7 linked regions of the Callithrix jacchus genome follow. The protein of the gene in region 2 purifies or fractionates together with the protein of the main gene of each other region. This does not show direct contact. Links are inferred from orthologs where the notes say so. Each region holds a gene or a part of one and is shown on either strand. Other genes may lie near its edges. The genes, in order: DDX3X, EIF3F, PRRC2B, EIF3B, EIF4B, EIF4G1 and EIF4E.

Region 1 (4,166 bases), on a different chromosome or scaffold from region 2:
TACATGTTTGTCATCCCCTTACGTGGATATTTATAGCTATCCCCAGGAACGTTGTTTATACTGAGAATATATAGCGATGAGGATTTTTCTTTTTCCCAGGTATTCCTGATTGTCATCAAGCTTATAACAGATGAACCACTAAAATAATAGTACCATTTGACAGTAGTATTCTTGTACTTTATGCTATTGAAATGAAAAAATATTAATATTAAGTAACTTGACAGTCTAAGAATGTTCTAAATGAATGCCACCTCTAAGAAATACGGTGGTAATGGTTTCCTTGTAAACTAATTCACACCTATAAAATTAAATCGTGATGGTTGTATTACAATATCATAATCAATGTGTTAAAGGCAAAGCTATTGACCGCTTAGAGGTGGTATTCATTCAAAAACATTCTTAGACTGTCAGATTGCTTGATTTAGTGTACAGGATTTTCTTTTTCTTTTTTTTTTTTTTTTTTTTTGAGACGGAGTTTCACTCTTTGCCCAGGCTGGAGTGCAGTGGTGCAATCTCTGTGCACCATGACCTCTACCTCCCGGGTTCAAGCAATTCTCCTGACTCAGCTTCCCGAGTAGCTGGGATTATAGGCATGCACCACCACGCCTGCCTAATTTAGTATTTTTAGTAGAGATGGGGTTTCTCCTTGTTGGTCAGGCTGGTCTCAAACTCCCGACCTCAGGTGATCCACCCACCTCAGCCTCCCAAAGTGCTGGAATTAACAGGTGTGAGCCACTGCCTGGCCAGTGGACAGTAATTAAAAACATTATCTTGGTGACAAGAAAACCAGCTCTAAATCTTGGTTCTCTTACAGTGCCATGGTAGGAATACCTTGAGATTGAACCTCAAGCCCACAGAGATAAGATAGTCAGTGGAGGCCTTCAAATTCAGAAAGATTGATAATACCTTAACATGGTTCCTATTTCTCATTAATAAAATGGATTTGTGTTTTTTTAATTGAAGGTTTCTACGATAAAGACAGTTCAGGGTGGAGTTCTAGCAAAGATAAGGATGCATATAGCAGTTTTGGATCTCGCAGTGATTCAAGAGGGAAGTCTAGCTTCTTCAGTGATCGTGGAAGTGGATCAAGGGGAAGGTAAGTGATTTCTTCTCACCTTATAGGTGTGTAGAGTAACAGTTTAATAAGTTCTTATTCTGACCACCTATTTGGATGTGAGAGGCTTTTGCTACATTGAACCTGTTAAGTTGAATTAGATGAAAATTGGAATATGGTCATTGGCATAATGTGTAATCAATTTTTTTTTTTTTTTATTTCTCGAGTTTTATATGTTCTACTTAGTACATCTAGTGAATGGCCTAATTTGGTTGGGATTTTTGTGGACTCTATAACAATTTTAAACACCTTGGATTTTTTTATTATGCAAGTATGGTGAACTGACCCCACGTGCCTAATAGCTGTGGTTAGTCCTGTGTCCTGATTTTTCGCAAACAGGCCTAAAATTCTAAAAACATCTTAGTTCAAGTAAGGATTATTTTCTACCTTTTATCCAAAATCTGTCACACAGGTGAATTGTCCTTTAGTATAACTAGGATGATTGATATTTGGTGTATTATTTTCTTTTCCCCACCACTAAATATATTTGAATGAGCACTTTAAATGAAGGTTGTGAGCTGTGTGCCCATTTCAGATAAAACCTTGATCCTTTTTTTTTTTTTTTTTAACCTGTGAAGTGAAGGAATTAACCCAAAAACGTCGTTGATTCTTAATTGTGGCATCTATGAGACCTTTTAGGCTATACAACTTTATAGAGATATAAAGGTTACTAATTTTAGAAATGATTTTAGAAATATCAGTAAATGGTATTGGTTAGAGACCCTTATTTGTCAAATAACTCAGAATTGGCTTGTTGACATCTTTGTAGTTAGCCATAACTTAAGTCTCCAGATACAGTTCTAGAGCAGGGGTAGAAATCTGATAATGGTTAAATGATGTGATTCTGATTATTCACTTGTGCTGTTCAGATTTGATGATCGTGGACGGAGTGATTATGATGGCATTGGCAGCCGTGGTGACAGAAGTGGCTTTGGCAAATTTGAACGTGGTGGAAACAGTCGCTGGTGTGACAAATCAGATGAAGATGATTGGTCAAAACCACTCCCACCAAGTGAACGCTTGGAACAGTAAGTTTTTGAAATGTATGTTACTTGTGATGAAGCTTTATTAGCTAGTATAACAAATGAATTTACCAATCTTTTGATTTGAGGGAACTCTTTTCTGGAGGCAACACTGGGATTAATTTTGAGAAATACGATGACATTCCAGTTGAGGCAACAGGCAACAACTGTCCTCCCCATATTGAAAGTGTAAGTATTTTTGCTTGACTTTTTAAGACACGGGGAGATGTAAATGTTTTCATGGTACATTAGAATGTGAGATGGGCTTCATAAAGTCATATGTAGACCAAAGGCTTCATAGGTTTGTGGAAAAGGAGTGAGTTCAGTGTCACCGTTAGAAATAATTTATTACCTGAAATAGAAAATGGGTCAAACACAGGAAGAACCCACAGTCTTCTCCAGTGTAAAGCCTGGGGATTCATTTTTCTCAAAGTATAATATGATAATTTTACTTAAAGCAACTATAAACTGAGTTACAAATTAGCTGTTAGTTGGTTATTTCTATTATCATAAAACAAAAAATGGCTCTAGATAGCATTTCTAACCCCATTGAATTTCTTAACAGTTCAGTGATGTTGAGATGGGAGAAATTATCATGGGAAACATTGAGCTTACTCGTTACACTCGCCCAACTCCAGTGCAAAAGCATGCTATTCCTATTATCAAAGAGAAAAGAGACTTGATGGCTTGTGCCCAAACAGGTAAGCTCAGCCGATAAGAGTAAACATTATCATATTTGTTCTATAAAGGACTAGATAATAAAATATTTTGGTTTTTATGGGCCATGTGGTTTTGTAACTGCTCAAGCACTGCTATTGGAGTGTGAAAGAAGCCATAGATGATACGTAAATTATTGGATATGGCTGTATTCCTTAAGAGCTTTATTTACAAAAATAGTCTGTTTGCTGACTTGTCTTATAGATGGACCAAAGAAGCCACTTTTTGGAAAACTTAATTTGAGCATAAACTAAAAGTCCTAATTACTAGTAATAAGGCAGTTAAACACTGTCATGGGCAGGGCACAGTGGCTTATGCTAGTAATCCCAGCACTTCGGAGGCTGAGGCTGGTGAATCACAAGGTCAGGAGTTCAACACCAGCTTGGCCAACATGGTGAAACCCTGTCTTTACTGAAAATACAAAAATTACGCGGGCATGATGGTGAGAGGCTGAGGCAGGAAAATTGTTTGAACCTGGGAGGTGGAGGTTGTAGTGAGCTAATAAGATCGCACCACCGCACTCCATCCAGTCTGGGCGATAGAGCAAGACTCCATCTCAAAAAAGGGCCAGGGGACACTCATCTACCAATGTCTGTTCAAAAGTAATGAGCAGGGTTTGTTTTGTTTGTTTTTGAACAGGGTCTGGAAAAACTGCAGCATTTCTCTTGCCCATCTTGAGTCAGATTTATTCAGATGGTCCAGGCGAGGCTTTGAGGGCCATGAAGGTAGACATTTCTTTATAAAATGGGAAATTATTGTAGAACTTCAGTCTAATGAAAAACAGTTTTCAAGTGTAATCTGTAAATTACAAAAGTATAGGTGGAGTTAACCTAAAAATTAACTCATTTCTTAGGAAAATGGAAGGTATGGGCGCCGCAAACAATACCCAATCTCCTTGGTATTAGCACCAACGAGAGAGTTGGCAGTACAGATCTACGAGGAAGCCAGAAAAGTAAGTATGAGTTTCAGTGGTTACTAGCTTTTTCATTGATTCTAATTAAATGTTTTATGATCATGTAAAAATGATAGTGTAAAAATTTTGACTTTGAAGTTCATAACATTTTTTTGCTTACAGTTTTCATACCGATCTAGAGTTCGTCCTTGCGTGGTTTATGGTGGTGCTGATATTGGACAGCAGATTCGAGACTTGGAACGTGGATGCCACTTGTTAGTAGCCACTCCAGGACGTCTGGTGGATATGATGGAAAGAGGAAAGATTGGATTAGACTTTTGCAAGTATGTTTTTTGTTTGTTTCTTTGAGATGGTGGTGGGGTTTTTTTTGTTTTTTTTTTTTTTTTTTTTTTTTTGAGAT
Region 2 (4,648 bases):
ATTGCTACAGACTCCAGGTCATCAAATCCAAGAGTTACTTTTCAATCTCCTTCTGATTGGCTGTTCACCTGTGTTTTGGGGAACTAAAAGAAAGAATGCATGTCTATGTAGAGCATTTTCAGGGGAGCAGGATCATGTGAATTCTAATAATGGAAGATTTCTCCAAGGAGAAATCAACTCTTGGGCATAGAATCACGGCTAAGAAGTTCAACTTCACCTATCTACTTGCTAGCTGGATGCTAGGACTTGACCCAATTAAGGGAGTTGATGGGTTTTTGTTTTGTTTTTACAGGCAGATGTTATCAGCCCCATTATACCAAGAAGGAAATTGAGGCTAGGAAAAAAACTTGTAGATTGTCGCTAGTTACACAGTGGGTTAGGGTCAGAGCTCCCTCCTTCACATAGTGATGATAATCGCTATGACCTAATAACTACTGTACATCAGGTATGTGCTAAAAGCTTGACAAGGCAGTACCTCATATAATCTCCCAAAGTACAAACTAGTGTATACAGCTTACAACTCTACTTGAATGTCTAATGGATATCTCAAAGGTGACATATCCAGAAATGAAATCAGGATCTTTTCCCCAAAACCTGTTCCACCTACAGCTTTTGCTCTCAATTGATGGTGACGTCATCCTACTAATCGCTCAGTACAAAAAAAAATTGCAGTCCTCCTTGACTCCTCTCTTTGACACCTCACATACAATTTTTCAGGAAACCCTATTGTCATTACCTTCAAAACAGATCCATAATCTTCCTGCTTCTCAGAACTTCTATTGCTACCAGCCTGGTCCCAGCCATCATCATCTCTCACTTGGATTACCTAGTGGCCTCCCAGCCGGTCTCCCTGCTTTTCCCTTTCTCACCTTCCTCTTCCTAACTCCCCCCACTCCCCAGACTATTCTCAAAGCAGCCGGAGAAATACAGCTAAGTTCTCCTTCTTGCTCATTGCAGCCTCAAGCTCCTGGGCTCAAACAATCGTTCTGCCTCGGTCTCCCAAAGTGCTGGGATTACAGGGGTGAGCCACCGCGCCCGGCCTTAAAATGCTTTTTTTTAAGGCACTTTGATTTCCATGATCTAAGTCTAAAACACGAATTTCCACCACCGCGCTGCTGTCTGGTTCCACCTGGCGGCGGCTGCACAAAGTGTTTCTCTTTGAACGCCGTGCCAAGTTTACCCGGAACTACTTAGCCCAGCTCTCCCTGAGTGCTCCTCGGGCCAAAAGCAAACAGCACAAATTCCGGAAGAAATTACCAACAGCGGGACCATTTAGCGCTCCGGCTGTAACACCAGTAACCAATAAACAAAAAGCTCTAGTTCACGTGGTGTATAGTCAGCCTATCAAGCTCCTGATATTCCTGAATGCCCTCGTTTCCGCTCCTGTCGCATTCTTTCTCGACAAGATGGCCACGCCGGCGGTATCACCAAGTGCTCCTCCTGCCACGCCAGCTCCGGCCCCGGTGGCGGCCCCAGTCTCGGCCCCAACCTCAGTTCCAGCCCCAGCGCCAACGCCAGCACAAGCTGCGGCTCCGCCTTCCGCTGGGACTCCAGCCTCATCCTCAGACTCTGCGGCAGCAGCGGCTACGACTGCGGCTCCTGGCCAGACTTCGGCCTCAGCGCAAGCTCCGGCGCAGACCCCAGCGCCCGCTCTGCCCGGTCCGGCTCTCCCAGGGCCCTTCCCCGGCGGCCGCGTGGTCAGGCTGCACCCAGTCATTTTGGCCTCCATTGTGGACAGCTACGAGCGACGCAACGAGGGTGCTGCCCGAGTTATCGGGACCCTGCTGGGTGAGTGGTCATAGAAAGTTAACATTCTTTACTTTCTCCCACTTCTCATTTATCTCACTTCCCTATCTCATTAATTCTTTCATTCTTGGCGTTCTTTCCTCCCATCCCCAGTGACCTCTTAATCTATTTTTCTGTTTTGTCTTCTGCTGTGACTTCTCAAGTGATTTGCTCCTCTCCTCTCTCTTCTCTCTTCTCTCTCCTGCCGGATTGCTGTCACTTTGAGTGACGTAAAATAACAAAGAGTAATTGTGTCATTTGCTGAATATTTTATGCCAGTGGTTTACATTTTTGAATGTTCCCCACAGCAGGTTATGGCAAGTATGATGAGCCCCATCTGCCAAAAATGAGTGCACATGCTGAGTGGGAAGTCAGGAACCCTTGACTCCCTAAATCCAGTGACCACGTATTTCTGCTTTATCCACCGACTAAATGTCATTGTTTTCCAAGTATTGACAGAGTTTTCTAACCAATTGGCAAAGGAGTGGGGACATTTGCAAAAAGGCATTCCTCCCAGCAAGTAAACCGGTTTGGCTGGAACCCATTTGGGATTTTATAGTATTCTGCTGTCCTAAACTTTTGAGCCTGATTCTCTGATTCTCAGCATACCTTAATATTAGTACCTAATGTGAGAAACCCTGTTCTCCCATTTTCCATTTGGACACAAACTATTGTATTATCTGTTTATATCTCTGCCCTTAATTTTCAGGTCAAAGAATAACCCATTCTCTGCTTGTGTTCCAAATTTGGGGAATAGATACTCTGTATTAAAGTAGTTTGTAAAATGAAAAAGCACGAAAGAGGGATTGTTGATAATTCCTCTCTGGAGACTATACTGATCCCATGAAATCCATCTCCATTCCATGTTAGTTCCAGATTTTTTATTTATTTTTTAGTAGAGACAGGGTTTCTGCGTGTTGGTCAGGCTAGTCTCAAACTCCCAACCTCAGGTGATCTGCCTGCCTCGGCTTCCCAGGGTGCTGGGATTACAGGTGTGAGCCACTGCACCTGGCCAGTTCCAGATTTTAAATAGCTTTGTGAATCCACTTTACTTACAAGCATCCTTTCTCTTTCATACTCTTGAACATGTACTGGTTCTTACACCATAAAAGACAATTGATATATTGCAAAGCAGACAAGATGTGTAAGCAGACTCCACACAATTTTAGCCATGTGACTTGACGCAAATTACCTAAAATCTGTTCTGTCAGGATCTACTTTAGACTTAGTCTTCGTGAGAACTAAATTAAAAACTTCTGACTATGCTGGTACACATTAGGTACAGCTATTAGTTGCCATTCACCACATCAGGCCTGGACCGACCCAATACATGCCAAAACACATTTTCTCTCCTTTATCTATTTTTGACAGTATAGCATTTTACAGAAACTTAAATTCATATCTTCTGAACGTTGCCTGTCTTTTCTCAAACCAAGCCTTTGTGTTCTCTTTGCCACAGGTGCCTTCCTTGCTGTCCCTCATTTATTTAACTTCTGCCTATCTCCCAGGTTCCCAGGAACAGCATTAAGTGCCAGTCCTCCATCCCATACCTGGACCCTCACTCCATTCTTAACCTTCCACAGCATGATGGTGTTCTGTAACTGCGCCCTGCTTTGAGCTTCTGTAATAAATTGTTTTTCCTCACTGACCTGGCACTCAGCAAATACTTACTCTTTTGGTTACACTGTCTCATTTTCCAAGCTCACTAGAGCTATTTAAAGAGACAGTTCGCTACCCACAGTTTATACTTTAGCACCCCAAATGTTCCAGTGATCCAATCAGACCAGCTGTAATCTAATCTAGAGCTTCAGATCTTCTTTCAGACTGGAATCATGGTACAGTGCTATAGGTGTTATAGGGGCAGTGCTTCCAGAAGAATAAAGAATAGATTCTGCTTGCTATAAACTAAGAGTTTCCTTAGATATTAATTCACAAAACATTTTATTTGTCTAAATGAAGTCATTGGTGCTTTTTTTGTACCATAAAACTGTTAGGTATTTAGAATTCAAAGTGTAGTAAGGTAAGCTCTCCTGTAACCTTAAACTCAAGATAGAAATATACTCTTAAATGCAAATAACTAGAATGTAATATAATAAATGTTCTAATAGAAGGGTGTCATGGTGGCATGGAACTACGGAAGACTTAACTATTTCAGAAGGTTAGGGAAAAGTTCACAAAAAAGATGGTGTTTGAGCTGGGCATTAAAGCAACTACAGGAAGTTAAAAAGGCCTGATAAGCCCACTATCTGAAACATTCAGTATTACAGGAATGTAGGTGACAGGAGGTAGAGCAGGAAATGAAGCTAGCAGAGGGCAGAGCCCTAAGAAGTATTGAATAATTACAAGTGTAAAGTGCTGTGAAGGAGAATTACCTGGGTCTCTGAGAAGACAAAATGGAAGTGTAACCTCATTTGATGCTCTTTGGGGAGGATCCTGAGCATTTCAGCTAACACTGAATAGAAATTAGAAATCACTCTGACTTTGGGAGGCTGAGGCGGGCAGATTGCCTGAGCTCAGGAGTTCGAGACCAGCCTAGGCAACATGGTGAAACCCTGTCTCTACTAAAATACAAAAAAGAAAAAGCCAGGCGTGGTGGTGTGCACCTGTAGTCCCAGCTCTTGGGGAGGCTGAAGCAGAAGAATTGCAAGAACCTGGGAGGGAGGTTGCAGTGAGCTGAGATTGCACCACTGCCCTCCAGCCTGGGCAACAGAGCGAGACTCCGTCTCAAAAAAAAAAAAAGTCACTCTGGCTGCTTTGTAGAGCATGGATAAGAGACAGGCATGAGCTGGGCATGGGTACCAGATAGCAGCTATTCTAGTAATAGGGAAGCACTTGAGAAATAGGGATAGATAGGAAGTGGGTG
Region 3 (3,590 bases), on a different chromosome or scaffold from region 2:
CGGTGGAAGGAGATGGGATGAAGGAGTCATTTGCTTTTTTGTTTCATAATCAAAGCAAGCGGGTCAATGCCATATATCCACAGGTGCAAGCTGGTTGATGACAGAGCTTTCGGGAGTGGAGAGAGGAGGGAGGTCTCTCAGTCCAGACCAGGCGTTTGGACGGTGGATCTGGTGAGGCTCCCGAGCGTCAGCTGTGTCAAGGTCGCGTGGCGGCACCGTCCCCAGTGGGGCGAGGCGAGGTGGCAGCCAGGCACCGTCAGGCCTTACTCTCCTCCACTTTGACAGCCCGAGGCTTGATCGCTCCGGTTCGCTTCATCTGGGAGGCAGCTGAGGGGGCCTCCTGCAGCTTCACGGCTCCCAGGCTGGGTTTCTCATCCACTCGTTGTTTTGCCTTTGGACAGATCAACGGGAAAAACAAAGTGACCCTGATGCTGAAACGTCCGTTTGGATACATAGCTCCCACCACTCCCTTCCTGCTCCTGAGTGCAGGGAAAGCTCCCCTAAGTCATCCATCCCTTGGTTGAAGGACCAGACTTACAAATCCCCCTCGTAGTAAGGCAAGTGGCGCAACTGCCGTCCCTGATCCCTCCCTATGAGCCCCGAGTGCAGTGATTCGGAGAGGCAGGAAGACACCGAGTCCTCCACAAGGAATTCCGCGATGGCACACCCAGGGCGGAAGCAGTTCTAGTCCCAAGGCCAACTGGAAGAACCTTTTCAAATCAGTGCACCTCCTGCCCCACAAGCAAAAAGCCCTTTCGAGTAGATCCAAGTGCCCCACTGTACACCTTGGGGGCCCTGTCTGCTATGGCCCTAGGCAAACTTGCCCCCCTGCCCCAGATCTTTGGCCTCAATTCAGCCACAACTCCCACTCTATAACCTTGCCCTGGGGCCCCATTCCCAGTCAAGGCTCCCCTGGTCTGTGGCTCTATATGGGGGTGGGATGGGAAAGTCACAGAGCAGCCAGCACATCTGCCCCCTCCAAGTCTGAACTCTGGAAGAAAGCTTTAGAAGCTTATTCCACACAATTCTCATGACCCCCAGGGGAACCAATGCGAGCAATCACTTCCCACTCTACCAGCCAGGCACAGTAACTGAAACACCCAGGTCTGAGGGGCCTAAGCTCTGAGCCCCAGCACATTTTAGAGATTAGTGAAGAGAATAGTGCCTGCAGGGAAAGACACTGAAATGTACTTTTCATTATCAAATGGGAAAACTTAATTTCACCTGTGATCCCACCCAGCCAAGACAAAGACAAGACACACCACTGACTTGCGCACCCCAGCTCCTAGAGCTGACCCCCAAACCTAGCCGAGTCTCCCAGGGCGCCTCACAGCCCCGACCTGCCAGGGCTGGTCCACCTTCCAGCGTCACCTCCTCAGAGGAATCGGCATCCTCCCTTCTCTGCAGGACAAGGAAGGATCCAGACGCCCGTCAAGAGGAGAAATGCCTTCGCCAGGAGGGACGCGGGTGGCCCAGCTCCTAGTTCCGTGCTCTAACTGCTAGGACATGGCTCTCTTTAGACAAGGAGCACTCAGATAGGTTGGACAGTCCCTTCTCTTTTGGTGCTTGGAGACGGGCCTAAATGTCCAGGGCTGAAGGGTCTGGAAAGCCATCTTCTACCTGTTGCACGTAGTGTCCCTGCACAGAGCCCATGTTAACTGCTGATCCAGAGGGCTTCCCACTGGGGCTAGCAGAGCTAGGCCTGAAAAAACCAAAGGCAGGGGTTGAGAATACACAACGTGTCACCACAGAAATGGAGTCAAAGACTAGCACATGGAGGAGGCGTGAGGAAGGAAGGGCCTGGGCCAGAGGTGCTCTCTCTGGACAGTCTATGGGCCTCTTGATGGGGAAAAAAACCACAGACCTAAGACAGCCAAGAATGCAGCAGGGCAAGGGAGTGGCTGTCACTGACCACCGCGGCACCTCCAGGACAGAGCTCAAGGAGACACACCACAAGAGAGGGAGGCTGAGTCCCTGTGCAGGTGGGCACGGCTGTCCTGCTAGGCAGAAAGGGACACTGGCCATCTCAGCCTCTGGACCAACACAGCGCAGTGCCCCAGACAAAAGGCCTAGAAGCCTGACACTGAGACGGAACCGTGCTATTGCTCTAGTCTTCGCTTTTCAGAAGAGGGCGTGGAGGAATAAAAATCTATGACATGCTTCTAAATGTGTTCCACTGACCACTAGTTAGTTCCCAGGGATGTTAATTAGGGGTTGTGTGGGAAAAAAATTCTGCCGTCAAAAAGCCTAAGTGCCATAGGCACAGAGTTCAACAGGACTGCCCACCCAGGCCTGCTCAGCCTCTGTGCTGGCGAGTGCCTCTCCCGGTAGGCCGCCCCAGAGACAGCACACCCCCGAGGACCTGACCAAGGAACTTTTTTTTGCAGGGCACATCTCAGCAGCTCTAGTTCCAGAAACCTTTGGGAAACATTACAATTATAGCAATTTCCCCAACCCTCCTAAACACCACTGAAACAAAGCTAACAGTTAAGGCTTCTACTTTCTAAGTATTCTCCAAGGAATAATCTGCTGCCTTTCCTATGTCTACATAGACACAGGCAACTCTTGTCCCATGAGCTTCTGTTCTCTGGGTTTTGCCTTTGAGGAAGGCTCTGTAGCCAGAGGCTGCTGGGATCTGCCTGTGGCAGCAGCAGGACAGCATGTGCTCAGACCTGCGGCCGCCTTCCTCCTCCCAGCTCTGCTCCGGGGTGGGTGCTGCTGTCCAGCTATCTTTTTCACACAGTCCTGATGTTTTGGTCTATGTGAAAGACATGGCAGGAAAACAAATACTAAATACAGAAATAAATGAAGCCAGGAGAGTGAAAATAAGAATAGAAAAGATGGAATGGGAGGAAAATCCACAAAAACCCCTTTCTCTGGAAATGGAGGAATAAGAGTGGAATGCCGTGATGGAGGCGGCGGCCTGACAGGCAAAGGGCAGCGGAGCAGAGGGGTGCAGCCAGAGCAACTCGCAAGCACAGAGGCCTGGCTTGCAGAGCACTCCTCAGGCCCGCAAGTACCTTTGTATTCATGGGGTCACCTCATGGCGCATGCAGTAAGGGTGTTAACCTCTCACAGGGTACCATGCGTCAGGCACGTCTGTTTCACTCATTTTGCAAACACAAAGCAGTCTCAGTAATCTCCCACATGTAACAAGGGTCGACTGACTATACAAACCCTTGGAGCACAGGGCCAGAGCGTGCTGCCTTCACACCTGCACAGGGGGAGCAGAGGGACCAGATGCTCTTGCCCGAATCTGACAGAGCCACCTCTGTATCCCGCTTAGGGGACCTGGGATGGTTACCGGGGGTGGAGACAGATACGAAGGAAGCAAAAAGCGGGTGCTGGTTTGTAGTGTGGAAGGAATGACCCCACAAGCCCAGTAATAAAAGTCCCCTGGCAGAGGTCAGAGGGCAAGTCTGGGGAAAGAGACACCGGGAAAGGCCATGCTCCTCCCCTTGCTGGGATGCAGCCCTGTGGCCAGTGGGTCCTGTTTTTAGGATCTGATGGGAAGTCACATCAGTCCTGATGCCTACTAAATGTCAGCAGTTCCTTTTCCTACCTTTCCAGAAAGCTCCCCAATCCAGAGC
Region 4 (4,166 bases), on a different chromosome or scaffold from region 2:
TCCCAACACCGCCCCCGCCCACAGGGCAGCAGTGAGGCCCCAACTCCAAGTCCTCGTGCCAGCCCCAGTCCCCCACTGCATCCCTCCTAGGAGAAAAACAGAACCAGTGTCTTCGGGGCAGAAGCAACTCTGAGCAGACACACAGCAGCCCCCTCAAAGCCCTGACGTGAGCCTGCCTTTGCTGTGATGGTGGATGTCGCAACATGGCTCTCCCTTCAGGGAACAAGGCTCACCTTTGAGGCTTTGGACTGGCTCAAACGATCTTTCTGTTCAAAGATCTTAGAGTATTTCTTCAGATCCTTTTTAATTTGCTGAAACAAAAGACTACTGTCACTCAGGATTTAACATTCAAAGCAAGAAGCACAAACGCAATCTTCAAAGTTGCCGACATGAAGTGACATCCAGAGTCATTAACAGAACACTGTGCCCCAGGTGTGCTCGCACCTGCTCTCTTCCATGTTTCATGTTGAGACTGACTTTCTTCCTGGGATTTAACCCTCTTCTTCGTTCTGACTTAATACCATCGGCCTATTTTACCATCATTATGTAAATCCCAGACAAGTCGCTTTCTAATCCCACCAGGACTTTTTAATAGCCCCTGCCATCTTTTTATCCACCCCTCGGGTTCATGTAAAACTTCCCTCAACAAGCTGAAGACCTCGGTTAACTATCCTAAAGCTGTTCTATTCCGTTCAGTTTTCACTGTTCCCTCATCTCTTCAAAGGGCCTACCCCCCAGTCACCACCCTAACCACTTTTCCTTTCAATGCCATAATCACCTCCACATGCCCTGCACCTGAGGGTGGGGGATACTTACCTTGATCTGCTCCTGGCTCAGGAGTGTTGGAGGCCGGGGCCGCCACAGCAGCTGGCAGAAGCGGTCCTTGTTGTTCTTCTGCAGGAGGCGTCCCTGGAAAGTCCACAGCCAGTACGCGTTGTCCACCTAGGGCAGGGACACACCAGGACATAAACGGGTCAGCAGAGCCACAACAGTGACTATGTCACTTGCTGAACAAGGTCCTGGATATCGGGGACACATGTGAACCAAACAAAGCTCTACCTTTGCTGAGCTGACATTCAGCAGGGGAGGTGGTCAGTAAATTAAAGACACAAAATATGTAATCAACCCAGAGTGCAGGGCACACAGTAGCTGGAGCAGCGCTCATCACAGCACAGGCCTACGCGTTCCTGCTGGCAACAAGAACCCTGTGCCAGATGTAAGCTAACTGCATCACCACACACCGCTCGGTTCCACTCTCTTCATAGCAGGACTCTCTCATGAAGGACGTCGCCTTCACTGGCACCCAGGATAAACTCCCTATGACATGCTGGCATTGTGGGAGCTAAATGTTTATACCTCAAGCAGAGTGGTCAATAGCTTAGAAGGTCTTTTCTTTTAATGGGGTTAGGGTTTCACTATGTTGCTCAGGCTAGTCTCAAACTCCTGGGCTAAAGTGATTCTTCTGCCTCTGCCTCCTAAAGTGGTGGGATTCCAAGTGTGAGCCACTGTGCCTGCCCTAAAGTGGCGTCAAGGTAGGCCCCACCACAGTGACTTATGAACATACCTGGACCCAGGCCGTGATCAACACACCCTGATTTAAATGTGAAGATTTCTAAGTGTAGACACTTGTTGTAATATTTGATAAGCTGGTATTCCTAAAAGTTCAGTATCTCATTCAATAAAATTACCCTAATTTGATTGAATTTGATCTCATAGACAGACTCTGTTTGCATGGACAGTTCAAGCGTCAGTACCTCCACCAACTTTCAAAAAATCACTAAATACAAGAAGTCCTTGGCAAACTTAATCAGCAGTTTTCGAATAAGAGCTTGTGGGTAAGGTGGCAGCTAGACTCAACCACTGACTCCAAAGAGAAGATCTTCATGTCTGAGGTTATGGAACTGTTCAGGCTTTAAAGAAAATGACTCCTCTCCGAAGAAAAACACTCGTGCATGACACACTCACACTCCCTTTCAGGGGTCCCTGGGTAAGACACCCCCACCATGAGCAGGGGCAGCTCCCGCCACCTCTTCTACAACCCAGAATCCTCCTCCTCCTGCCACAAACACCAGCTGAGGATTCTGTTAAACACCAAGGCTTGGTGCCCCTCCCTGAGGTCCCAGGACAGCACCAGAGTCAGCAGCCAGCCAGCACTCCCTGCTTCTATCCACAGCCAAAGCTATGCCCTCGGGCCTGCACCTTATGGCTCCACCAGGACACAGAAGTGACGACATAGCGCCCAGTAGGATCCCACTCAACATCAGAGGCCATGTAGTGCTCTGCGATGTTCATGACCGTGCAGTCCGAAGTATCCACAAACGCTAAGGCACCATTCATACTGCAGAGACAAAAAGGACTGTCAGGTTCACAGAGACGCATACTTCCCGACATCCCACTCCTGAGAGGCACTGCATGGGGTCCCCAGGGAGCCAGCCTTGGCGTCAACATGGAAACAAGCAACAGCCTCTGGCGGCCACTGTGAGACTTACAAATCACAGCTTTCAGAGTGTGCAATGAGTATTACACATGTCTGCCATCACTATTATTTTCACAGGAAATGTTATCTGAGGCTAACTAAGCCTCCAAAATTACAGTAGCAAGTGTCAACAATGAAGCAAGGAAGAGCAGTGACAAAAGGATATTCTTTTAACTCAGAGCAGAAAGCTGGAAGCTTCTCCACAATTCTGACACACTGCTGGAATGCAGCTAAGACCCATACCGTGACACCAACCACAGAGGTAAGGCAGCCTCACAGCTGTGTAACTAATACCCTCCTGCTAGAAGAGAGGTGACTGACCTCCTGGGGTGGGGGCAGGGGGGTAAATGGATTGCTGGAAGGCACTTGTTTAACCACAAAAGAACGACAACCCACAGACTGGTCAGCCTGTCACTTCACAAAAGCATCTACGAGTGCTTATTTCCATCTGCCCTGGCTTGGCCTTAGTCTTCGAGTGTCATGGATCCGCAAAGGTTCAATAATGTCCCATCCATTGACATGGGGGTAAATCCTTTCAGTGTGCAACACTCCCTCTACCAAGAAGTGGGAGGAGGAGCCAGAGTGCAGGGTGCAGGTGCCTGAGGGGTCTTCACCGCAGCAGGCAGAGCACTACTCACGAGGCAGACAGGCTCAGCGCGCGGACACCCACCTCCTCAGGCCCGCCAATACCACAAACTGTCCTTGGGGGCTCCAGAAGATGGTGTTTGCTTGCTGCTTGTCGAACATCTCTGCAAGGAAACAGAGTGCCTGTCACGAGCTGTGAGCGCTTCCACCCCAGGATGAAGTAACGAACCAAGGGCAGTCAAGGCTGGGGGGGCTTGGCCGTGGGTCACACTACCCACATGAGCACAGCTGGGAATGCCCGGCCACCTCGGAAAACAATTTTACAAAATCCATCGCTAAGTTCCCCTTAAGTCATAATCCATACTTTAAATGGGGGGGGGGGGGGGAAGAAGGGGCACGGGTATTTCAAAGCAACACTATTTTCCTATTTCCTGAAGTAAATGGACAAAGAATTCCCTTTACAGCAAACGTTCACTGCTGTAGGGACCCCAACGGGGAGAGGATGTCAGAGACGTGTGACCCTGGAAGACCAAAGCCACTTTCCTAGCGATAAGACATCTTTGGAGAAGTTGTATGCTTGTTGAAACTGTCTACAGTCATCATCTTTCCAGGTACTAAGTCTTACTTCCGGAAACGACCTCGGGCGGAGCTGCGGCAGCAGTGAGAAGTGAAAGTCAGCCGGGGTGGGCTCAAGTCCCCCCTCAGAGCTTGCTCAGACAGAGCTGATGACCTGCGACCTCTCTCTCCTTAGCCTCTGCGGTACATCCAAAAAAGAAGCTGGGGCAGGATATGGAGGGGAGGAGATGTGGGAAGGCAGACACACCCCAGGAGGGGCAGGGGTCTCAGACGTGCACCAACAAAAAACCCCAGCAGTCACAGGCACGGGATAGAACCCACACAGTGGCCACAGAGTCTATGCCAAACCTCAGGAGAGGCGTGTCATACGTGTTTGGAAGGTACATGGTACTTCTGCTTGCCGTCTTATGACTTAGAAAACTGATACAAGCCTCTGTCTGGACAGTCTGCAACTGCCTGTACGTTTCCACCAATGGGAATTAATGATACAGACCATCTTGCGATCTACTGCCAACTGAGAGCACCACGC
Region 5 (4,166 bases), on a different chromosome or scaffold from region 2:
GGAGAAAGCACAGGATGTTGAGGTCTATTCGGCATAATCTTCTCCCTCGTTTTCATCTTCACCATCAACGGAGAGAGCAGCATACTTGCTCGCAGAACTGAACATCTGTAAAATGAGAATCGCAGGATAATGAAGGCCTTGAATTAACACATCAAAACCCAAGACAAAAGATGCTGATCCTTTGGCCATGGGGGATGACAGATGACACCCACTTGCTTACTCATCAGCACTGTCCACTGGAGAGGAGCTAGGGAAAGAGGATCAGAGGCAAATGTGATCTCACTGTAGTCTCACACCACCTCTATACCTTGCAGAAGGATGAGAACAGAGGAAGGCAGAAACCAGAAAAAGGCTAAACTTTTTTCACTATTTCCGATAAAGACCAATGCCTTATTTCCAACCACTTTGTATTTCCAAATGTAAATAAGTCCAATGGCAAAAAGTATTCTAAGAAATTGGGAGCAGCCTTTAATACTTACGGAAGCTGGATTTTCCTCAGGTTTCTTTGGCTCAGGTGCAGATCTGGAGTCTTGATCCTTTTTGCCATCTTTCCTGCAGAGACATAAGCATAAAACCACGTCTTTAGGAGAAGACTCGCCTAATACAAACATGTATTACAAGCATGCAGTTTCAAGGCACTCAACAGGCATCTCTAGTCAATAGTCCTCGTTATCTAGATGATGTATTACTTCTAGATTCTCAGAAGCTTAACTGTCTAGGCTGGCTGACTCCAGTTTGCTCACAATGAGAGATCTGGCAGTGCTTTGAGAACCAAGAACTTAACTTCTTAATTACAAAAGCATGTGGGTCAGAGGAAGGATGATAATGAGAACGAGAACACACATACCGATCTGACTCCTTCCAGTGGTCTTTGTTCACTCCGTCTCCTGGACCACGGCTGGAGTTCCCAGTTTGGCCTTTCGGGACATTCATCCCATCTATTTTATTTTCATCTGCTAGAGCAGTAATGCAAAAAATAAAAGGCAAGTAAAATGATCAACGTCCCTCTCCTAAGATTTCTCTTAAGCTGAAGAAAACTGCCTGCAAGTACTGAGGGAAACTACCTTGGCCCCATTCCAGACTTCCTTCCTGAAGCCCTTCTTCCCACGTCCTCTATAGCACATAAAACTACAAAAACCAAACAAAATCAACTAAAAAGTTCCATGCAGGGATATGCCATCCTGAAAAGCAGGCTGGAAATAAAGACTGTGACGCTCGGCAGTGACCTTGGCTCTGCTGATGGTGACATTTCTAATCTGGACTGAATGTCTTAGTTTCCGATTTTTTTCTCCTCCTTTCAAGGAAATGTTCTACCAGGAAAGGGCACTTTCTCCAAAGAGGCCACTACTCCCTCTACCACTGCAACCTCCGCCTCCCAGATTCAAGCAATTCTCCTGCCTCAGCCTCCCGAGTAGCTGGGAGTGTGCCACCATATTCGGCTAAATTTTTGTATTTTTAGTAGAGATGGGGTATTTGCCATGTTGGCCAAGCTGGTCTCGAATTGCTGACCTCAGGTGATCCTCCCACCTCGGCCTCCCAAAGTGCTGGAATTACAGGTGTGAGCCACCACACCCAGCCAACCCCAGAACTTTTAACACAGTATCAGGTGCAAGACACATGCTCTTCAAAATCTAATTTTAGAGGCCTTTTTATTAGGCCTCTAGGTGAAAAACCCATTTCCCACACTATGAGCTCACCTTTCCTGGCTGGTCCTTCCTCAGATGGTTGAGCTGGAGCCACTTTGCCCCCACCACTAGAAGGAAAACACAAAATCACATTCATCAGTTGTTTCAGGAAGAAGGAAGTCAAGAAACTTATAATCATCCTCCAAATGCAGTAAGCTTTACAGAAAACAAAATCATACTCAATGTTATGAACATTAAAATATGGGAAAGAAAACAATGAAAGCAGTAATTTAAACACTAAATGCCATATGCGTTCTAGTCATCACATCATGCAGGATTAGTATTGCTATTTTCTTTTTTTGAGACGGAGACTCACTCTTGTTGCCCAGGCTGGAGTGCAATGGCGCATCTCGGCTCTCTGCAACCTCTGCCTCCGAGGTTGAAGCGATTCTCCCTGCCTCAGCCTTCCAAGCAGCTGGGATTACAGGTGCCTGCCACCATACCCGGCTAATAGTATTGCTATTTTCTTTACAAATGAGACTTAGAGAAATTAAGGCAAGTTACCCCCTACCACACTGCCAAGATGTGGCAAAAGGGAAGCCTCTGACTTGATCTGGGTGGCATTAGTACTCCCATCATAGCTGAATTCAAGCTACCAAAGTGATGTCAACTGCCTATCAAAACTCCAGAAAATGGAACATGTGGGTCTTAAGACATGCCAGTTCCGGCACACTAAGAGAACAAATCCAGCATAACTTATACGATGCTATATAATGCTGGTATCCTGTTAAGGCATCTTCCATCATTACATCACATTATTTAAGAATGTGCACAGCTAACCAACTACTGCTTCCAAGCTGACTCACCTTGTAGGGGATTGCTGCTCTGTGTCTGAGCTCTGAGATCGAGCAGGAGGGTTAGAACTTCGCTTCACCCAAGCATTCTCCTTTGGTGGAGGGGCTGGCATTACCTTTAGGGGCTGATCAGGTTTGGGAGGTTTAGAAGTTGGAGAGTGACAATCTTCCTCCTTACTGAGTGTTTCATTTTCTAGAGACTTCTCACTCTCTCTCCTTCGTGCATCTGTGAAGCCAGAGTGAAAAGAACAAATTATCAGGATGCAGATGCTCATGCATCTACCAGAATCTCAACAGTGTGGAAAACGGTGCACATCAGTTTTGGCTCGCAAAGACGGATTTATCCCTAAACCAGTGGTTTCCAAATATTTCCGAGAACAAGGTTTACTGATGCACAGAGAAATAGGAAAAATAATAACCATGTATACATCTTAAGGGATACCCAGCCATTTGACCTTTTGAGGAATGAGTATCTTTTACAGCCTGTCTGCATTCTCAATGTTAAAAGTGTCTTGATGTGGAGAATATACATATACAAAGAGGACCTATGATGAAACCCCAAATTCTAGTAACCATCGCTCAACTTCAACTTAAAACTCATCACAATAGACAATGATACAATTGCATTTATGAAAAACCACCTACTGGCTGGGTGCAGTGGCTCACACCTGTAATCTTAGGACACTGGGAGGCCAACTTGGGGTGGATTGTTTGAGCCTAGGAGTTTCAGACCAGCCTGGACAACATGGTGAAACCCCAGATTCAAAATAAATAGAAAAATTAGCTGGGTAGTCCCAGCTACTAGGGAAGATGAGGTGAGCTGTGATCATGTCGCTGCACTCCAACCTGGTTGATAGTGTGAGACCCCATTTCAAAAAAACAAAACAAAACAAAAAACAACCTACACTTTTTTTTTTTTTAAGGCAATAAGTATCTTCTTAAAACGAGAAGCCTCCTTTTAGAGTCTGAAGCGGGACTGCTTGAGGCCAGGAGTTTGAGACCAGCCTGGGCAATGTAGCAAGACCCCATCTCTACAAAAATTAAAAAAATTTAGCCAGGCATGGTGGCATACACCTGTCATAACAGCTACTTAGGATGCTGGGGCAAGGGAACTGCTTTAGGCCAGGAGTTCAAGGCTGCAGTGAGCTATGATGATACCACTGCACTCCAGCCTGGGTGTAAGATCCTGTTTTAAAAATAAAAAACTAGAAGGTTGTTTCATCAGATTCTATCTTTTTTTTTTTTTTTTTTGAGATGGAGTCTTGCTCTGTTGCCCAGGCTGGACTGCCGTGGCACAATCTTGGCAGGTTCAAGCGATTTTCCTGCCTCAGCCTCTTGAGTAGCAGGATTACAGGCGGCTGCCACCACACCCAGCTAATTTTTGTATTTTTAGTAGAGATGGGGTTTCCCCACGTTGGTCAAGCCGGTCTCGAACTCCTGACCTTGTGATCCATCCGCCTTGACCTCCCAAAGTGCTGGGATTATAGGCATAAGCCATCCCACCCAACCTTCTTTCTACATTTTACACGTAAGTTCTACAGAAATAGGTATATATCAACTCAAAAAAAGTATATATTATACTTTTACTTTGCCACAAAAAGGGGCATAAAAACATGTTAGTAATTTCCAGAAAACTCCTACAACACCTGAGTGAATTTCCAAATCACTTCAGTCTTGAGCTATGTTT
Region 6 (4,166 bases), on a different chromosome or scaffold from region 2:
ATGCTGGGGGTATGTTGCCCGAAACATGCCTTACTCGGGCACAATGCATCTGGGTGCTAGGAAGCCTCTGCGGAGGGCGAGTTTGGTAGAGGCGACCGGAGTACACGTAGCAGTGAGAGTCAGTCTATGCAGAATGCAAAGTACATCTGAATTTGGAGGGCGTGTGTGCGTACGAGAAGCCGCTTAGCCATTTAGTCAAGTGGTCTTGGAAGGATTTGTCTCCACGTTCTGAAGCCCACAGTGCTTCTTTCCAGGCCATAGAGACACTGTGGAGTGGCTGTTTTCTGTCCGTTTCCTCCTCTTTACAATGCCAACTGCTTTCCTCCCTCCTGACAGCACTTCTACCCTAGCCGGGCCCAGCCCCCGAGCAGTGCAGCCTCCCGAGTGCAGAGTGCAGCCCCTGCCCGCCCTGGCCCTGCTGCCCATGTGTACCCTGCTGGATCCCAAGTAATGATGATCCCTTCCCAGATCTCCTACCCAGCCTCCCAGGGGGCCTACTACATCCCTGGACAGGTGAGGCTGGAGGCTTGGAGGCTGGAAGACACAGACCCTCACTTCCCTTACCCTGACCCTCCAGTTCCATCCCTTTTCCAGATGTGGGACTTCCTTCTGGTCATTGCCCAAAGTTGGCTTGTCTTGTCTTGACCTATGTTATTTTTTGGAGTCTGATATGGTACTCATAGCTCCCTCCACTCCTTCTCTCCCCCTCCCTGACCAGGGGCGTTCCACGTATGTTGTCCCGACACAGCAGTACCCTGTGCAGCCAGGAGCCCCAGGCTTCTATCCAGGTGCAAGCCCGACAGAATTTGGGACCTACGGTAAGCAGGGGAGGGAGTAAGAGGTGAGAACCAGTCCAAGGGAGCATCTAACCTCATCTACTGTTTCTAAAGCAGAAGCCCCTTCCTAGGCTTGGCTTTTGGTGTAAAAATGATAAGATTAATAGGTGGTAGGAATTGGTGCTTAATATTTAACTGGTGTTGATTGTGGGGAGAAAATTTGATTCTGTTGCCGAGAGAGTTAAAGTCTTCCCCACAGGGAATGCAGGACCGGGCGCTGGCCTCAGGGCTGTTGGTGGGCTCTTCCTGTGACACTACTTCCGCGGGTGACAGCCCATGTACCGCAGATTTGGGGGGTTTTTGTAGCTACCTTTTATTTACATTCTAGGAAAGGATTAGTCTGTTCTTTATGGCAGTGGCTTCCAAGTTTTTTGATCACCTATCAGGAAAAATTTTGAGTATGAATGTCTCATACATGTATGTTTTTGTTTATATGTATGCAAAATATAAACAAAGCACTCTGCTTGTCAAAGTGGAACTGAGGGATGAAATTGAAGAATGCATTCTGGCTGGGCGAGGGATCTTGCCTGTAATCCTAGCACTTTGGGAGGCAGGAGGGTTGCTTGAGGCCAGGAGTTCGAGATCAGTCTGGGAAACAGTGAGACCCTGTCTCTATTTTAAAATTTAAGGCGGGGGCCGGGTATGCTGGTTCAAACCTGTAATCCCAGCACTCTGGGAGGCCGAGGTGGGCAGATCATTTGAGGTCAGGAGTTTGAGACCAGCCTGGCCAACATTGTGAAACCCCGTCTCTACTAAATTTTACGATTTTTTTTTTTTTTTGAGACAGAGTCTTGCTCTGTCACTCAGACTGGAGTGTAGTGGCACAGGTGTGTGCCACCCCACCCAGCTAATTTTTTGTATTTTTAGTAGAGCCAGGGTTTCACCATGTTGACCAGGCTGGCTTCAAGTGATCTGCCCGCCTAAGCCTCCTAAAGTGTTAGGATTACAGGTGTGAGTCACCACGCCCAGCCCCTGTCTCTACTAAATATAAAAATTAGCTGGGTGTGGTGGTGCACTCCTTTAATCCCAGTTATTCAGGAGGCTGACACAAGAGAATCTCTTGAACCCAGGAGATGGAGGCTGCAGTGAGCCAAGACTGTGCCACTGTATTCCAGCCTTAAAAATTTTTTTGGCTAGGCTAGGTGGCTCTCACCTATAATCCCGTCACTTTAGGAGGCCAAGGTGAGTGGATTGCCTGAGCTCAGGAGTTCGAGACCAGCTTGGGCAACATGGTGAAACCCCGTCTCTACTAAAATGCAAAAAATTAGCCAGGTGTGGTGGTGGGCACCTGTAGTCCCTGCTACTCGGGAGGCTGAGGCAGGAGAATTGCAGGAACATGGGAAGTGGAGGTTGCAGTGAGCTGAGATCATGCCGCTGGTCTCCACCCTAGCGACAGAGTGAGACTCTGTCTCAAAAAAAAATTTTTTTTAAGGAAAAAAAAAGACGCACCCCACTTAAGAGATAATTTGCTTTAAGGAATTAATTTTTCTTCATCCCGAGCCTAGTTCATAATGTTACCTTGTTTCTTTGCTCCTTTTTAAAGGGCTGGAGACAGGAACTAGACTGAAGTTGAGTGGAACAGGGTTGGCACATCTCTTTCATTCCCAGCCAAAGACCTGCTTCTGTTTCAGGTTCAGAGTGTGTGTACAACACACCAGAGTACCTCGTACGGTAGAAGGACAGACATAAATCCTCCTGGTTGCTGGCATGTGGTGGGGAAAGAGTGCCTGCCTGCAAGGGGGGTGTGTGTGTATGTATGTGTGTCAGTGTTAGGAATTCTTGTAAATGCAGTTTAGACTGGTTCCCCAGCTTTGACAGACACCTAATTCCCTGGAGGAGGAGGGCAGGGCAGGGCCAGGGGCCGGCTGTGGGTGATGAGAGGTTCTGGGGTTGGAGGTGTTCAAGCAGGCATTAGTGTATGCTTGGGTCCTGACGCTACCTCCATTCTTCTCTGTTCCCCCTCCCCCAAGCTGGCGCCTATTATCCAGCCCAAGGGGTGCAGCAGTTTCCCACTGGTGTGGCCCCCGCCCCAGTTTTGATGAACCAGCCACCCCAGATTGCTCCCAAGAGGGAGCGGAAGACGGTGAGTAGCAGCAAGGGGCTCTGGGACATCTGGGAAGGGGAAAATCAAGGTCAGGTGCTACTGGGACATTTGCACAGTGACTTGAGGAGGAAGGACCTGGGAGTGGGCCGAGAATGGGGTCTGGAGTGCTCGGGTTCTTTTGATTGAGATTCTAAGATTTCACCATAGAAGCAGGTCATGGGAAGACTGAAGTTGCTAGTGAGGAAGTTCCTGTGAGACCTGGGTGCTGGGGGTTGGAAGAAGTATGCTTGGTTTTGGGTTTCTGGTGGCTTGCCTTGGAAATGGTTTGTTTTCTGTGGCCCCAGCCCCCACCCACCCTAGTCCTGGAAGCTCTCAAGGCCTCCGCCTCTGCTCAGTCCTCAAGCCCTGGGCGTGGTGCCCAGAATAGGGTGCCAGAGCTGGGGAAGCCGCTGAGTCACCCTGGCTCCACCTACTGGATCTGGGCCCTGCCCCCAGAGATCAGGCACACTAGCTACAAGTGAGCCGATTGGGTGCTAGGTGGGGGTCCTGGGCCCCAGGGCATGCAGCCTCTGACTTGGGGACTGCCAGTGGGGTAGGGATGAGGGAGGGAGGGGCATTGTGATGTTCAGGGCTGCTCTGTGAGGTCAAGAGTCTCTGAAGGGTGGGAGCCAGGTCAGGGACTACAAGAGCAGCCAGATGGGCTGAAAGTGGAACTCAGGGGCTTTCTGGTATCCACCCACCTGCTTCCCAGTGGGGGCTGGGGAGTTGGCCTAGAGTCTTAAGTGTGGGGCAGGGTGGAGAGGTGGGCTCCCCCTGCTTCCCACTCATCCCATAGCTTTCTTTCCCCAGATCCGAATTCGAGATCCAAACCAAGGAGGAAAGGATATCACGGAGGAGATCATGTCTGGGGCCCGCACTGCCTCCACCCCCACCCCTCCCCAGGTACTGTCTGCTTTCTGAGCGATACCCTGGCTGGGATGTCTGTTCTGCCCTGGACTCCCAAGTCCCTTGATCTTTTCTTTCAACTAAGGGATTGATTTCCCTGCTTTCCTGGATTTCTAGGCAGAGCTAAAGTAGAAATGGCTCTGGTAAAGAAGGGTTTTGGGACTCTTCAGTGCAAACTTGGTAACCCTTTGTGTCCTGCAGACGGGAGGCGGTCTGGAGCCTCAAGCTAATGGGGAGACGCCCCAGGTTGCTGTCATTGTCCGGCCAGGTAAGTAAGAGGGTGGGACGGAGCTTTTATGTGGAAAAGGAATGTTGACAGTTTAAATGCTGGGGTGGTTGAG
Region 7 (4,166 bases), on a different chromosome or scaffold from region 2:
TTTCTTTTTACCTCAATTATATTAGTAACATTTGACTCACAATTTTATGTTAAAATTAAGTGCTGGTCAGTCAGTGGTCATAAAATGTTTGGTTTGCCCTGTTGTGATTTTTTTCAAATATTATTAATTTTTCTTTTTAAAATTAATTTTTTGAGACAGTTACACTCTGTTGCCCAGGTTGGAGTGCAGTAGCACGATCTCAGCTCATTGCAACGTCCCCCACTTGGGTTTAAGTGACTCTCTTGTCTCAGCCTCCTCAATAGCTGGGATCACAGGCCTGAGCCATGACAGCATTTTTTGTAGAGACAAGGGTTTTGCTGTGTTGGCCAAGCTGGTGTTGAACTCCTGGCCTCAAGTGATCTGCCTGTCTCAGCCTCCCAAATTGCTGGGATTTCAAGCGTGATCCACCGCTCTCAGCCATGTATTTTTCTGTGAACATAATTTATTTCTAGATCAAAAGGTATAGGGATTTTCTACATTTCATGCTGTATAGGGTTCACTAAGAGAAAGGAGTTGATCTGTCATCATATTTTAATGTTTCTGCCAGCATCAAAACCCAATTGTGGAGGTTTTACTTTATTTTAAACAAGAATTAGAGAAATTAATAATTTTTTTTCTATGGAAGTTTTGTATTTTTGTCAATATTAAATGCTTTTGAGTCTATATTAAGACTTCAGATTTTCAAAGAAAGATTCTTTTTTTAACCCTTCCAATTTGCGTTAGTCTTGCTTTCTGGTGTTTTCAATAATTAAGTATAATTCAAAGGAATGCATTGCATTGTAATGCAAATTTAATAATTATCACTTTACCATAAAATTTCTTTTTAATACTTTATTTTAGGGGGAAGGTGGTAAATCTTTTGGAAGGTATGAAAAAACTATCTTAGTATTGTGTTGGAGGATTTAACTCCATTAGTATGTTTGTTCCGTGATTGATTGATTGAGACAGAGTTTCATTCTTGATGTCCAGGCTGGAGTGCAGTGACGCAATCTAGGCTCACTACGACCTCCACCTACCGAGTTCAAGTTTGCCGCAGCCTCCAGAGTAGCTGGGATTATAGGCATGCACCAACATGCCCAGCTAATTTTGTATTTTTAGTAGAGATATGTTGGTCAGGGTGGTCTTGAACTCCTGACCTCAGCTAATCTGCCCGCCTCCGCCTCCCAAAGTGCTGGGATTACAGGTGTGAGCCACCACGCCTGGCTATTCCTTTATTTGTATTTGATATTGCTTATTTTTGAATTTTTGCTATATTCCTTCCCTCCTTTTTTTTTTTTGAGACAGAGTCTCACTCTGTTGCCCAGACTGGAGTGCAGTGGCACGATCTCAGCTCACTGCAACGTCTGCCTCCTGGGTTCAAGTGATTCTCCTGCCTCAGCCTCCCAAGTAGCTGGGACTACAGGCGCATGCCACTACACCCAGATAAGTTTTTGTTTTTAGTAGAGTTGGGGTTTCACCATCTTGATCTCCTGACCTTGTGATCCACCTGCCTTGGCTTCCCAAAGTGCTGGGATTATAGGTATGAGCCACTGGGCCAGCCTTATTATTTTCTTAAAGATTCAAATTTTTAAGGTGACATATGAAGCTCTCTTCCTCTGAAAACTTGTCAGCCTTATCTCATATTCACTTTACTTATGAGCCATAGCCACACAGTCTAATTTTTATTTCTCAGCTCTCAGATGTGCTCATTCTCTTAACATTATCCTTTTGACCTCATGATATTTAAAGGGGTGACTTCTCTAATTTTGTAGATGAGATTAGAATCTCCTTGTTATACAGTATCACAGCCCCTATATTTACTCTTTGGCACTTGTGACAAGTGCCATTTTGTTCTTGGAAACGTGTGCATGAGTCACGTCTTACTTGAAAATTAGATTGTCAAGTTCTAAATTAAATAGATTAATTTAGAACATAATTTCTAACTATTGCATAATTTCTAATCTATGCAATATGTTCTAAAAAAATATTGCATTTTTAGTGGGCTGGGTGTGGTGGTGGGTGCCTGTAATTCCAGGTACTCGGGAGGCTGAATCGCTTGAAACTGGGAGGTAGAGGTTGTAGTGAGCCGAGACTGCGCCATTGCACTCCAGTCTGGGTAACGAGCAAAAATCCATAAATAATGTAATTAACCAGGAATATTGCAAAAATGGAAGAGTAAATTATGCTAAAAGAGTAAATTATGCTAATTTCCTGTTGTACTCTCAAGTCTGTATTTTATAATATAAAGACTAATAACACTAAATTTTTAAATTTATTTACTTGTGAATAAAAATTAATGGCTACTTTTTTTTTTTTCTTCTAGGAGGGTATACAAGGAAAGGTTAGGACTTCCTCCAAAGATAGTGATTGGTTATCAGTCCCATGCAGACACAGCTACTAAGAGCGGCTCCACCACTAAAAATAGGTTTGTTGTTTAAGAAGACACCTTCTGAGTATTCTCATAGGAGACTGCGTCAAGCAATCGAGATTTGGGAGCTGAACCAAAGCCTCTTCCAAAAGCAGAGTGGACTGCATTTAAATTTGATTTCCATCTAAATGTTGCTGAGATATAAGAGAAGTCTCATTTGCCTTTGTCTTGTACTTCTGTGTTCATATATATATATATATTTTTTGGCTAGAGTGTCCACTATCCCAATCAAAGATTTACAGTACACATCCCCAGAATCCATAAATGTGTTCCTGGCCCACTCTGTAATAGTTCAGTAGAATTACCATTAATTACATACATTTTACCTATCCACAATATTCAAAAAACAACTTGACATTTCTCTACTTTACAGGAAAAAAATTCTGTTGATGTTCTATTGTATGCAGGAGCATATTTTGCTGTTTTGAAAGATTATGATGCATACAGTTTTCTAGCAATTTTCTTTGTTTCTTTTTACAGCATTGTCTTTGCTGTACTCTTGCTGATGGCTGCTAGATTTTAATTTATTTGTTTCCCTACTTGATAATATTAGTGATTCTGATTTCAGTTTTTCATTTGTTTTGCTTTTGTTTTTTTCCTCATGTAATATTGGTGAAGGATCCAGGAATATGACACAAAGGTGGAATAAACATTAATTTTGTGCATTCTTTGGTAATTTTTTTGTTTTTTTTGTAACTACAAAGCTTTGCTACAAATTTATGCATTTCATTCAAATCAGTGATCTATGTTTGTGTGATTTCCTAAACATAATTGTGGATTATAAAAAATGTAACATCATAATTACATTCCTAACTAGAATTAGTATGTCTGTTTTTGTATCTTTATGCTGTATTTTAACACTTTGTATTACTTAGGTTATTTTGCTTTGGTTAAAAATGGCTCAAGTAGAAAAGCAGTCCTATTCATATTAAGACAGTGTAAAAAACTGTAAATAAAATGTGTACAGTGAATTGTCTTTTAGACAACTAGATTTGTCCTTTTATTTCTCCATCTCTATAGAAGGAATTTGTACTTCTTATTGCAAGGCAGTCTCTATATTGTGTCTTTTGTGGTGTCTTCCATGTGAATAGTATAAGTTTGGAGCACTAGTTTGATTATTATGTTTATTACAATTTTTAATAAATTGAATAGGTAGTATCATATATATGGAATTAAATTGATGTGGCTATCTTTGTTTTTTTTATAAAGTAAGGCACAGTCCTTCAGTCTTAGGTAAATAATGTACTCTCTTAATATGTTAATACTCATGAGAATTGGGATCTGACGCATCACCATTTGATTAGTGAATTGAGTTGTTTGTATGTAAGTTTCAAAATGATAGTATAGGGAAAAGACAGGTGGTGGGGATGTATGCATTAAGAATTTTGTTGGTGTTGCAATCTAAATCGAATGGAATAAACAGGTATTAAGCCATTTATAGTGATAAATTGTTGTAGTATGGTATTCTGTAAACTCGAAAACTTGATCTACTATTTGTAGGTATCATTTGAAAACAAACTTGAAAATATTTTGTACATAGTACATACTTGTATAGTGCTGTGAAATGAAGTATGGCTATCAGACCAAAGGATAAGCCAAGCTCTAGGTAGCCGAATGGAAATTACTAGTTTGAGAAGAAAATTTGTCTTTGAATGGTGACTATGACTTAATCATTTTAAAACTGATAAACTTGACAAAAACCATGTATGAAATAAACATGAAATTAATAGCACTGATTTCATTGTAGAATTTTAAAATA

What was found.
Region 1: the proteins of EIF3F (region 2) and DDX3X purify together in Homo sapiens (affinity purification with mass spectrometry; 3 studies listed by BioGRID and IntAct, with this or other methods). This does not show direct contact. The link is inferred for Callithrix jacchus from reciprocal best matches to the Homo sapiens genes EIF3F and DDX3X.
Region 3: the proteins of EIF3F (region 2) and PRRC2B purify together in Homo sapiens (affinity purification with mass spectrometry; 3 studies listed by BioGRID and IntAct, counting the BioPlex papers as one, with this or other methods). This does not show direct contact. The link is inferred for Callithrix jacchus from reciprocal best matches to the Homo sapiens genes EIF3F and PRRC2B.
Region 4: the proteins of EIF3F (region 2) and EIF3B purify together in Homo sapiens (affinity purification with mass spectrometry; 14 studies listed by BioGRID and IntAct, counting the BioPlex papers as one, with this or other methods). This does not show direct contact. The link is inferred for Callithrix jacchus from reciprocal best matches to the Homo sapiens genes EIF3F and EIF3B.
Region 5: the proteins of EIF3F (region 2) and EIF4B purify together in Homo sapiens (affinity purification with mass spectrometry; 3 studies listed by BioGRID). This does not show direct contact. The link is inferred for Callithrix jacchus from reciprocal best matches to the Homo sapiens genes EIF3F and EIF4B.
Region 6: the proteins of EIF3F (region 2) and EIF4G1 purify together in Homo sapiens (affinity purification with mass spectrometry; 3 studies listed by BioGRID, with this or other methods). This does not show direct contact. The link is inferred for Callithrix jacchus from reciprocal best matches to the Homo sapiens genes EIF3F and EIF4G1.
Region 7: the proteins of EIF3F (region 2) and EIF4E purify together in Homo sapiens (affinity purification with mass spectrometry; 3 studies listed by BioGRID and IntAct, with this or other methods). This does not show direct contact. The link is inferred for Callithrix jacchus from reciprocal best matches to the Homo sapiens genes EIF3F and EIF4E.

Annotation. Positions count from the first base shown.
Region 1 is NC_133524.1:42,179,575-42,183,740, forward strand, and holds part of DDX3X (ATP-dependent RNA helicase DDX3X), read left to right. Parts: intron 1-963; coding exon 964-1,096; intron 1,097-1,983; coding exon 1,984-2,142; intron 2,143-2,225; coding exon 2,226-2,325; intron 2,326-2,701; coding exon 2,702-2,837; intron 2,838-3,492; coding exon 3,493-3,578; intron 3,579-3,706; coding exon 3,707-3,805; intron 3,806-3,928; coding exon 3,929-4,089; intron 4,090-4,166. UniProt on the Homo sapiens protein: Multifunctional ATP-dependent RNA helicase. The ATPase activity can be stimulated by various ribo-and deoxynucleic acids indicative for a relaxed substrate specificity.
Region 2 is NC_133511.1:73,845,096-73,849,743, forward strand, and holds the start of EIF3F (eukaryotic translation initiation factor 3 subunit F), read left to right. Parts: upstream 1-1,390; 5' UTR 1,391-1,406; coding exon 1,407-1,788; intron 1,789-4,648. UniProt on the Homo sapiens protein: Component of the eukaryotic translation initiation factor 3 (eIF-3) complex, which is required for several steps in the initiation of protein synthesis.
Region 3 is NC_133502.1:180,101,729-180,105,318, reverse strand, and holds part of PRRC2B (protein PRRC2B), read right to left. Parts: intron 1,703-3,590; coding exon 1,621-1,702; intron 392-1,620; coding exon 257-391; 3' UTR 1-256.
Region 4 is NC_133503.1:56,669,400-56,673,565, forward strand, and holds part of EIF3B (eukaryotic translation initiation factor 3 subunit B), read right to left. Parts: intron 3,226-4,166; coding exon 3,147-3,225; intron 2,339-3,146; coding exon 2,200-2,338; intron 943-2,199; coding exon 817-942; intron 312-816; coding exon 234-311; intron 1-233.
Region 5 is NC_133510.1:66,525,755-66,529,920, forward strand, and holds part of EIF4B (eukaryotic translation initiation factor 4B), read right to left. Parts: intron 2,706-4,166; coding exon 2,492-2,705; intron 1,754-2,491; coding exon 1,698-1,753; intron 963-1,697; coding exon 848-962; intron 553-847; coding exon 480-552; intron 106-479; coding exon 25-105; 3' UTR 1-24. UniProt on the Homo sapiens protein: Required for the binding of mRNA to ribosomes. Functions in close association with EIF4-F and EIF4-A. Binds near the 5'-terminal cap of mRNA in presence of EIF-4F and ATP.
Region 6 is NC_133516.1:13,295,232-13,299,397, forward strand, and holds part of EIF4G1 (eukaryotic translation initiation factor 4 gamma 1), read left to right. Parts: intron 1-336; coding exon 337-513; intron 514-718; coding exon 719-818; intron 819-2,806; coding exon 2,807-2,919; intron 2,920-3,495; exon of another isoform or gene 3,496-3,608; intron 3,609-3,729; coding exon 3,730-3,822; intron 3,823-4,026; coding exon 4,027-4,093; intron 4,094-4,166.
Region 7 is NC_133504.1:98,582,951-98,587,116, forward strand, and holds the end of EIF4E (eukaryotic translation initiation factor 4E), read left to right. Parts: intron 1-2,302; coding exon 2,303-2,417; 3' UTR 2,418-4,139; downstream 4,140-4,166. UniProt on the Homo sapiens protein: Acts in the cytoplasm to initiate and regulate protein synthesis and is required in the nucleus for export of a subset of mRNAs from the nucleus to the cytoplasm which promotes processes such as RNA capping, processing and splicing.